Linked DNA regions of Danio rerio. The protein of the gene in region 3 purifies or fractionates together with the protein of the main gene of each other region. This does not show direct contact. Links are inferred from orthologs where the notes say so. Each region holds a gene or a part of one and is shown on either strand. Other genes may lie near its edges. The genes, in order: arid1b, arid2 and bcl7a.

What was found.
Region 1: the proteins of bcl7a (region 3) and arid1b purify together in Homo sapiens (affinity purification with mass spectrometry; 4 studies listed by BioGRID and IntAct, counting the BioPlex papers as one, with this or other methods). This does not show direct contact. The link is inferred for Danio rerio from reciprocal best matches to the Homo sapiens genes BCL7A and ARID1B.
Region 2: the proteins of bcl7a (region 3) and arid2 purify together in Homo sapiens (affinity purification with mass spectrometry; 3 studies listed by BioGRID and IntAct, counting the BioPlex papers as one, with this or other methods). This does not show direct contact. The link is inferred for Danio rerio from reciprocal best matches to the Homo sapiens genes BCL7A and ARID2.

What each region holds. Positions count from the first base shown.
Region 1 is NC_133195.1:5,084,652-5,088,307, reverse strand, and holds part of arid1b (AT-rich interactive domain-containing protein 1B), read left to right. Parts: intron 1-460; coding exon 461-803; intron 804-3,105; coding exon 3,106-3,249; intron 3,250-3,656. UniProt on the Homo sapiens protein: Involved in transcriptional activation and repression of select genes by chromatin remodeling (alteration of DNA-nucleosome topology).
Region 2 is NC_133179.1:1,979,017-1,982,672, reverse strand, and holds part of arid2 (AT-rich interactive domain-containing protein 2), read left to right. Parts: intron 1-402; coding exon 403-545; intron 546-786; coding exon 787-925; intron 926-1,941; coding exon 1,942-2,024; intron 2,025-2,103; coding exon 2,104-2,233; intron 2,234-3,656. UniProt on the Homo sapiens protein: Involved in transcriptional activation and repression of select genes by chromatin remodeling (alteration of DNA-nucleosome topology). Required for the stability of the SWI/SNF chromatin remodeling complex SWI/SNF-B (PBAF).
Region 3 is NC_133180.1:42,613,521-42,617,276, forward strand, and holds the start of bcl7a (B-cell CLL/lymphoma 7 protein family member A), read left to right. Parts: upstream 1-1,563; 5' UTR 1,564-1,628; coding exon 1,629-1,720; exon of another isoform or gene 1,721-2,559; coding exon of another isoform or gene 2,560-2,561; intron 2,562-2,640; coding exon 2,641-2,722; intron 2,723-3,118; coding exon 3,119-3,215; intron 3,216-3,600; coding exon 3,601-3,756. Other genes in the region: cfap251 (cilia- and flagella-associated protein 251), read left to right, coding at 1,045-1,166.

The DNA.
Region 1 (3,656 bases), on a different chromosome or scaffold from region 3:
AGTATAAATGCACAGCCACGCGCGTTGCATGCGCCGTGGGTTACGCCGGTCACTTGACGCAGAAGTATAAATCAGGCTTAAGTCCCTTCTTTATCAGGGGTCCCTCAAGTGGTGTCAAACCTTTATGAGTTTCTTTCTGTACTTTGTTGAAAACAAAAGAAGTTACTTTGAAGAAATTTGAAAACCTGTAACCATGGACTTCCAAAGCAGGAAAAAGAAATGTCATGGAAGTCAATGGTTCCAAGTTTTTCAATATATTCAAAATATATTCTTTATTGTTAAACAATAAGTTTAGAAAAAGTAAAGGGGGAGTAAATGATGACAGAATTTTAAGTTTTGGATGAACTAGTCCTTGAAGTTGAATTATTTTACCTTTTAAAGGGGTTATGCATTACTTTTTTATTTTATTATATTTCCTTATTTGTTGCTTCTACATTTAATGAACTTGTTTTATTCCTAGGTAACTACCCGCGTCCTGCTAATTATGGCGGTGCACCGGGTGCCAACTACAGTGGCCCTGGTCCAGGCATGGGCAACAGTCTCGGCATGAATGCCAGCAGTCCAATGCATGGCCAGGGTCCAGGGCAACCCTGTGGCTCTATGACGACAGCTCGAGGTCCAGGACATGCGGCCGGTGGCAGGCCGTACCCAGCGGGCTCCAGCAGTGTTGCTCCAACCTCTCCCAACATGCCTCAGTCTGCTGGCCCTGGGATGGGTCCACCTCCACCCAACGTTGGCCGCAAACCCCACGAGAGTGGCCCTGCATCTGCCCAGCAGAACCTCGTCCCCTCGAGCCAGGCCAGGTAAATCAGAGCCTTAATTAATTTCGATTAAATGCATTTCTTCAGCTTGACTCCAGTTTTATTTTTTGTTTTGGGAAATAGGTTTTATTTACGGCTTTTCAAGACTTTAATAGTTGAGTTTTACCAGTTTTTGTTCCATTCAGCTGATCTCTGGGTCTTGGGCAGGCACTTTTATGGCAAGTTTCCACTGCGTGGTACGGTATGATACAGTATGGTTCATCAAGCTTTTATAGCCGTTTCCATTGTCAAAAGGTACCAAAAATCGAACTGTACTGTTCCACTGTTTGGGTACCCTCTGCAAAGGCTACCTAGCATGACAAAAGGGTACCAAAAGGTGGAGCTAGACGTGCAGCTAAACACTATTGATTTACAGAGAAGCGTTACTAGCCTGTGCATAAGCAGGAGAATGAAAACAAATACATTAAACCATAATACTATATACATGTAATAACAAAGCAACGGTTCGACCAAAGCTTAAACAGACTTTGTTGTTGCCTTGATGAACAGCCACAAAGCCAAGAAGAACAAAATCTGCCAGATACGTCTAGAAGTGTGAGCGGTTTCGCTTTCTCCAGAGAGCTCGCCACGTGTCTATATTTGTAATAACGAACTTCTTGAGCTGATGATAATAACGTGCTCCTGATTATTAAAGTGGTTCTGACATCTGATCCTTTCAGAAACGGACAAACGCTAGGCTATATGTTGCATGTTGTTTTTATGGGTGTTGCATTTATTTATTTATTTTATATAATTGCAGATGTTACAGTTGGCTATTCCGCACTGTCATTAGCTATGTTTCCATCCACCTATTTTTATGCGCATTTTGCATATGCGCATAAAAAAACGGTTGATGGAAACGCCATGATGCGAATAAATTTCGAAAATGCGCATAAAAACGTATGCCCATAACTGAGTAGGATAAACTTTTTATTCGATAAAAAAGATGCGCAACTACGATGGAAACACTTTTACCGCACAAACTCCATTATGCGCATTAAACAAAGTTATGTGATTTTGTTAAAAGAAATCATGTGATGATAAAAATGTGTATGAATGGACAAACCATCAGGCTAAGCACATTATAAAACATCTGCAATGTTGTTTCGTTCATTCTAAAACGCCTTACTGTTTAAGTATTAGTGTTATTATATTATTAATGACCTCCAGAATCAAGAGCGACTGTGCTCCGCATCTGACACCTTCAAACGCCACCATGTGTTTACTGCGTGTCAGGATTGCCTTCTGAGGCGCAAGTGATTTATTAGATGAAGAAAAGATTGACTGCTGCAAATTCCGTTTTTACTGTTGATATTTGGCGCCAATTAACCAGGAAGTGACGATTTTGTTCGCTTTGACTCGTTGGATGGAAACACTGCTTTATTCGCACGTCTTTTATGCGATAATCCAATTTTTAAATGGAAACATAGCTAATGATCTGCAGTTCTAATGAAGTTATGTTCATTTAAAGGTCAGTAATGATAATTTATACACAAGTATTTATGTGTATTAAGCCTCCATGTTGTGAGAAGTGCTCCTATGATATGTTAACGACTTGTATAGCCTAACATTTTAACATTGAGTTCCTTGAGCGAGAATGACGTCGACTGAAACTTTCTGTCGCACACCACGCCATTGGTACCCTTTTGGCAGTGGAAACGCAAGCCTGATAAAGGTGATCAGCACTGTGTAGCACTGTGTACCATACTAGTCAGTGGAAACGATTAGCTTAGGTTAGCATAGCATAAATCATTGAATTGGATTAGACAATTAGCATCTCGTTTTAGGTGTTCATAATATCATTGCATCTGCTGCAGCCAAGGTAGTCCATCTGAACAATACACAAGGATTAATCACACTTTATTAAAATTAGTGCCTATGAAATTAATTCACATTATTAACATGTTAACTTTGGCAGCCCTGGTCTAAATACTTCACATTTAATCATACCTCTATAATATCATTCATATTTTTCTTTAGATATTTTTATTACTGCTGTTTTTTTTTTAACGTTATTTGTTGACGTTTACTACTTCGTAACCTCTATTATTACTGTTTTATCACAGCATAAACATTTATGATTCAGATCGGTCCTTGTTTATAACTCGCACCCTCAATACATCATTCTGCTTATCTCTCACTGGTCGGCCTCCGCTTGACGGATTATTCAGTCACCAAATAATGCTGAAAGCAGCATTTGGGACGGGGCCAAAATGTGTAATTACTCGCTAAACTTTTGAGTTGTCATTTGTATTGAAAGTAAACCGACACCAAGGAGACTTTAATGCTCTTCCCCCTGCTTCAGGCCTCCTTTTGGCAGGTCCCCTGTTTACCCAGGCCTTTCTGGGCCTGGGGGGCGGCCGCCAGCTTCCTTCTCTCTCCCTCAGCCCCATCACCCTCACTACAGTTCTGGGCAAGGCCAAGGGCAGCCTCACGCTGAGCTGTATGGGTAGGTTTGAGCTCGGACCCCCGGCTGGACGGCTTTACTCTGCTTGAGTCTGCTCGCATCCGCTAGAAACCACACAAGCGCTCTGCACTAGCCTCTATTTTCTCCTTCATAAGGGCTCATATATAAGTGTGATTATATATACAGTGCATCCGGAAAGTATTGATTATAATTCTACACACAATACCCCATAATGACAGTGTAAAAAAAAGTTTTTAAAATTGTTGTAAATGTATTAAAAATAAAAAGCTGAAAAATCAGATGTACATCAGTATTCACAGCCTTTGCGGTGAAGCTCTAAATTGAGCTCAGGTACATTCTGTCTCCACTGATCATTCTTGAGATGTTTCAGCAGCTTAATTGAGTTCACCTGTGGTAAATTCAGTTGACTGGACATGATTTGAAAAGGC
Region 2 (3,656 bases), on a different chromosome or scaffold from region 3:
AAAAAATTGTTTTGTACTTTTTTTACACTGAGTTAATCGTCAGCAGCAATTTACAGTTTACTTAACATGCATATAATGTATAATACTGTGTGTATTGCAGTTTTTCATGGTCGACTACAAATGTTTACTAAACATAATATTATGACAAAATATTAAATACAGCACCACAAGGGTACTGACAGCTATTGAAGATGACAAATGCAACACTTGAAACTATGTTTGACTTGACCAGTGCACCTACAAATTAATTTGTGCAAGGGATAATGTTTTCTTTCTTGTGTACATTTATATTGTGCTTTCCATTTAATATCATTATCATGTAGGACCCATTGATTTTATTTAGATTGAATGAAGTTTTCCCTTAAGCCTTCTTTAAAATTAAATAACTGTTCGTGTGTGCAGCAGCCTGTGTCAGTGCAGACTCCGCCTCCTGTGGATCCGGCTGCACAGGGAACCAATCAGAGTTCTCCAGCACCCGCCCTCTCTCCAGAGCAAACACGGAAACCTGGACAGAACTTTAAGTGTCTGTGGCAAGCATGCAAACGGTAAGAAAGCATGCTTTACGGATGTACTTCGCAATGTGAATAATAGCCGTATTATAGTTCTTTTTTAATGTTAGTTTTAACAAAAAAGTAGTAATTGGCTACAATTAATTAAATTTGTTGATTGAATAAAATCTTTTGGTTTTAAGGGTTGTTTTACTGGCATAAACTAAGAAATGAATATTAGCTAAGATAAGAAATGTTGGCTTCAGTATAACTGATTTTATTTCTGTGACTGTTTCAGGTGGTTTGACACGCCATCACAGGTGTTTTACCATGCAGCGACCCTTCATGGCAGTAAAGACTCATACCCAGGGCAGTGCCAATGGGAGGGATGTGAACCTTTTCCTCGCCAGAGATTATCCTTCATCACACACCTACAGGCAAGATCCTGACCCTCTGTTGTAGTGATAATAATGACATATATTTTTCCATAGTTAAAGGCCCTTGAAATTAAAATAAAAGTAATAAGATGTCTTAAGGATGTCTGTAATCTAGTGTGCTTCAAAACAGTGACGATTTACGTGTAGAATATATAAGACTGATATAAACATCCAAAGCTTGCAGTTTTACTTCAGCTTCTGACTCCGCCCCTTACTCAATATTCAGTTTAAGTTGGAAATACATCATCATACTAAAATAAACTCCACCCCTAATCAATATTCAATTTTATTTGGAAATGATTATCATACAGAAATAAACTCCGCCCCCTACTCAATATTCAGTTTCAGTTGAAAATACATCATCATACAGAAATAAACTCCGCCCCTACTCAATATTCAATTTTATTTGGAAATGCATCATACTGGAATAAACTCCGCCCCTACTCAATATTCAATTTTATTTGAAAATTCATCATCATACTGAAATAAACTCCGCCCCTACTCAATATTCAATTTTACTTGGAAATTCATCATCATACTGAAATAAACTCCGCCCCTACTCAATATTTAATTTCAGTTGGAAACACTTCACGATATTAAAATAAACTCCGCCCCTACTAAATATTCAGTTTGTTGGAAATACTTCATATTAAAATAAACTCCGCCCCCCTACTCAATATTCAGTTTCAGTTGGGAGTACATCATCATACTGAAATTAACTCCGCCTCCTACTCAATATTCAGTTTCAGTTGGGAGTACATCATCATACTGAAATTAACTCCGCCTCCTACTCAATATTCAGTTTTAGTTGAAAATGTCATCATACTGAAATAAACTCTGCCCCTACTCAATATTTAGATTCAGTTGGAAATGCATCCTCTTGCTAAAATTAAGCTCTGCTCTTCCATTACACAGACAAACCTGAATCACAGAAATGTCTAAAAAGAAAAGCAAAACAATATAATCTGAATTATTCCACTGTTTTGAGCATCTGTTTGTGTGTGTGTGTTTTGCAGGATAAGCACTGCTCGAGGGAAGCACTCATAGCTGCACTCAAACTGGAGGAGCAAACGCAAGGCAGCAACCCCAACACTTCCAAGTGTGTATAGCATCTTAATATCACAGAGACTGCTGAGTGTGTATGATTGTGGTGATAATCTGACTGTGTTGATGCGCAGGTCTCCTCCAGCGGCGGTCAGCAGTCCTCCTCCTCCTCCCAGACCCCCGAAAGCACTCGTCAACCACCCCAGTGCAGCTCTGATGGCGTTACGCAGGGGCTCCAGGAACCTCGTGTTCAGGGACTTCACAGTGAGTTTACAGACCAGCATTTACCATGGTTATTTTGCTGGATCGCGTTGACTGTTTACATGTACATAGTGTTGTCACGATAGTATTTGCAAATAAGTTTATTCAGTACAACAGGAAACAATTTACAATAAAGGCGGATTTATACTTCTGCCTCAAACGGACGCGGATACTACGGCGTTGACGCATAGCCCTATGCCGTGGCCGTCAGCGTCGCTGACGTGCACCTCTCAAAAAAAAAAATGTAACTACACGACGCAACAACGCATAGCGCAAGCTCTGTGATTGGTCGGCTTGGTAGCGCTGACAGGTCTGGTCGGGACCGAGAGCCGCGCGAATGGCGCGACCCCGATGGAGCGATTGTTTACAAGTGTGAGTCCTGTGAAGGAGCTCCGGATGGAAAGTTTTGTGTTTACCTCATAGTTAAAGTTGTTGCACGGCCGCCGGTTCCTGCCTCAAAATGAGCAAGTTTGAGCCACTTGTACATTTCAGGAAGCGTTCAGGAAAAGCAAAACAGCAGCGAAGAAACTCGACACAGAGGAACACAGCGTTGCATGCGCCGTGGGTTACGCCAGTCACTTGACGCAGAAATATAAAACAGGCTTAAAGGCTCATTAGGAAACTTTACTTAGTTAATGCATTTAAATAAACATTTAGAAATAGCAATATTATAAAGTTTACTTAATAAAAAATACAGCTAAATTAAGTAATTAACCCCATTTAATAAAATTATCACTTGATTTTAGTGCTTTATATGCATTAACTGAGAAATTAACATCAGCTTCATGTTTACTTGTGGCCGCATGTTTGCCTCATTCATAAAAGGCAGAACACGCAGGATTCAGCACGTAAATGCACTAGTTACTCCCCAAATACTTGCAAGTAAGTGTCTGGTGTACTTAGAGAAGAGTAGATTCAACTTTATAGTAACTTTCACCATGTGTATATGATATGAATAAAACACATCAGCAAATTATATTTGTATGGATTGTTAGACTTTTTTGTGTGTTTGACAAACTCTAAATGTCTTGTTTTACTAGTACTTGTGTGTATTTACATGTCTAAAACATAAATTAAGCATTAGGCGGTTAAAACGCTGCATAATTGTGATATGACGACACGTCTTTCTCAGCGGGTTAAGTTAGGTTAGGTTAAGTCTTTTCCGACGACCCCTTACTAAGAGCTCTGCTTAGAGCTCTCTCTCTCTCTCTGGGTCAGCGCCAGACACTGTGCCAAAGCTCAGTTTGATTTTCTCAGTTGTGGCTCTAAAGGAAAACGATCTAACGCTAACTTTTCAAGCTAGATAACGAATGAAACATCAGCACCAGAGACTTTACGGTCCTCACTTCAAAACGAAACAAAAGTAAGATTCTGTAGTGATTTACTCCTCTGTTGCTCCCTTCCTCCTCATCCCTGTCTATGAGGC
Region 3 (3,756 bases):
TGTCTGCGACACCTCCCTCAGCACCCGCAGGTCCTCAGTTATATCTGCGCATAGTGTGCCACATAAGAGGTCCGCGACACCTCACTTCATTTTCATAACCGGTCACTTTCGTTTTCTCATTGGGGTTGAGGGCGGCGTGATTGTCCTCTGCCTAGAGCGGCAGTTCAGCTTGCTCCGGCCCTGTGTGGGAAGCACCAACATGTTTTATCATGCTAAATGCATTTTAAGGTTCTGTTATAATGCTGCTTTGTGAGCTCTAACAAAACACAAAACATGTTAAACATCTTTGGTGTTTCCCACTACATGTTTTCTATAAAACCAAACCAAGGGTGGTCAAGGGTATTTGACATAATTAGCATGGGAACACAGGACATGGTCCTTGTCACTAAAACTGCTTATTTCTTTGGACTTAAACATTTTTGAAAGCATTACCAGAAAATAATAAAAAATATATAACACTATGAAAAGGCGACACGGTGGCTCAGTGGTTAGCACTTTCACCTCACAGCAAGAAGGTCACTGGTTTGAGTGCCAACTGGGTCAGTCGGCATTTCTGTCTGAAGTTTGCATGGTCTCCCCGTGTGGGCGTGGGTTTCCCCCACAGTCCAAAGACATGCGCTATAGGTGAATTGGGTAAGCTTAATTGTCTTTTGTGTGAGTGTTTCTGAGTTTGTATGGGTGTTTCCCAGTACTGGGTTGCAGCTAGAAGGGATCCGCTGTGTTAAAAATATGCTGGATAAGTTGATGGTTCATTCCGCTGTGGCGACCTCAGATTAATAAAGTGACAAAGCTGAAGAAAATTGAATAAATTAATAAATGAACATGTTCATTTACACGTTCATCTTACATGTTTTGCCTTTACATTGTTGGTTATGTTTTGGGTTAAATCATAGGCAAGTGAATGTGCAAATTAGCGTCTTTGCTAATAATGCACTCACATATATAACCTCTGCAATGTTAAAGACTATTTGGCTAAAATACATTATGATTTTCAAAATGTAGCAATCTTTTGATCTCAACAAACGTTACTCTTTCTCCTTTCAGGGTCTCTGTTGGAAAGTGTGCTTCCAGCTGAAATCACCATGGACGCATTTGCCTCAGATATATTGGGCTTTTCTGTCGCCACCCAGGAGCTCCATCAAGAACACCACGGACAGGAGTCATAATATATTTACATTTCCCTGCTTATGTTCATGCGTTGTCAATAAGTAATGTATTTTAAAACAGATGGACTGTTATTGTGTGGTTAGCGAGCTGTTGTGTTATATGTTTGCGTTCAATTCTTTCGCATAGAGATAAAATCATACGAAAATAAAACATGTCGTTTGTCAACATGCTGTCGATTGAAGTCTCCATTTTTTCCAGATACATTTATAAAACGTGTGTTGATGTCGTGGTGCTGGTTTCGATTCGCTCGTCTAGCTCAGCAATCTGATAAAATATCGTTTTCTTTGCTCTGTTCGCCAACAAAGGAGCGAAACGCGTACCCGCATTGACCGTGTCTCTCATGCTTCGAGGGCATTTGGCTTCAGCGCAGGCGCACAAACCCCGCCTCTCTCCTGTGCTGTGTGCATTCGCATTGTGTCTAAACAGGCAGCGAGCAAAAAGATATTTTACCAACAGCAGTAATGTCGGGCAGGTCGGTTCGAGCGGAGACGCGGAGCAGGGCGAAAGATGACATCAAGCGGGTTATGGCTGCAATTGAAAAAGTGCGGAAATGGTAAGAGAGAGCGTCTATCCGTTAACGAACAGCACAGACAGCCTGTGGGGGAGGAGAGACACCGAGAAACAATGAAATGAAAGCGAAGAGAGCGTTTATTCCACTCCAATTTCACTCAGATGTACTGTTTCTGCGATTCTGCGCGCGGCTGCTCCTTTGTCGGCTGTGTGAAAACATAGTTTGGGAAAATGTAGATCGCGTTTTTTCTTCCATTAAATTTTTATGTGGGTTGAACCTAGAAGCCATTTCGTTGCAGTCACATGAAGGCTTTGCTGTTAGAGCCTGTAATGCCGGCTGAATAGTAACCGAACGGGCTGACATGAGGAAACTAGAGTGAACCGTCCGTACCGAACAGAAAGTGCCGGTGAACGGGCGTTTGACTCGTTCATCTCGTGTTGAAAGTGAGAGAGTCGCGCTTTGAGCGGCGGCGCGTGAGGAGAGTTTGATCCACGCGCGGGGTTTTAAACTCAGCCCTGAGCCGCAGTTTCACATACACTTTTTTACACTTCAAGCAACTGCTGGGGATTTCGTTTAAACTTAAGTTTAAGTTGAATTAAGGGTTTTCAAACCATGACAAATTATTTGTTGGACTAACAATAATTACCAAAACAATATTTATTCTATAAAAGTATACATGTTAAATGAGAAACAATCGTGTTTTTGTGGCAACGTGCGATTAAAATTGTACACATCTGTGAGCTAGTGAACTGCATTATTATTAGTATTTATTTTTATGATAATAATTATTTACTATTGATATCGATAATTTGTTCAGTTGCATATTCTGCAAATGCATCTTGCCTAAATAATGGCTCATCTGAGATTTCTTATGCCTCTAAATGTAAGTGATTTAGTGGTTTGTCCTCATTTGTCTGGCGTTTCCTTTGTCTTTGATATCTAACAATAACATGCATCTCCAGGGAGAAGAAATGGGTGACTGTTGGTGACACGTCACTGCGAATCTACAAGTGGGTACCAGTGACGGAGCCCAAGTCAGATGATGTAAGTGACATTTATTTACAATAACGCACAGCTGTTGCAGTTTTGATAACCTAATAATTATTGTAACATTATGGACCACAACCAACAAATTCATTTGAAAGTTGGAACAAAATAGTCAAGGTAAAATATGACGCAAATGACTTTTTAATGAGTAATTCTATAGTTATTATTTTTTTAATTTAGTAAAGGTAAATTAGTAGTGGTATTCGTTGAGGGGGAAACATATTTCAGTTGTAGCATAACACAGACCAGTATTATTGTTTTTAACAGAGATTAAATTCATATTTATTTTAAATAAAATAAGTTAACTAAAATGAGTCGTATTTAAAACAGACACAACATATTTTACTATCTTCTTCATATGCCTTGATTGCAATATGTATTTATGTCACACAGAAGAACAAAAATAAGAAGAAAGGCAAAGATGACAAGTATGGCTCTGAGGTCACGACCCCTGAGAACAGCTCCTCTCCTGGAATGATGGATATGCATGGTAAAACTGTACACCTAAACACATCTCAATGTTTTACCTTTTTCAAATTAGTATTACATGCAGTAGTCTTTAAACCAATTTATGTGAGAATTTCAAATTGTGTTCTTTGTGATCCTCAAACAGTTGGTCTAATATGCATGACTAAGATTTTGAAGTGTTACCTGCTTTTTATTAGAAAAAAATCATTATTATAATTATTAATGATGGCAGCTTTGAATGTGCATTTTTTCCTCTTAACCAATAGAGGGAGTTGATGAAACAGTTTTACTCTGTGAACTGGTTATTTGCTATGCTATTCCGACCTGTAACCACCTATTAACAGTTACAAATGCATGGACATTTTCAGATATTAAAACTTTTTTTGTTTCTATTTTTTTACCCACAGATGACAACAGTAACCAGAGCTCGATTGCGGACTCTTCCCCATTGAAGCAGGAAACCAGCAACAACACTAGTCCAGCACCTGAGCCCATGGCCGCTTCTCAGAATGACAGCAGTGACTTGAAAAACGACCAGTATCCTTCCAAACAGCCTTCATCTG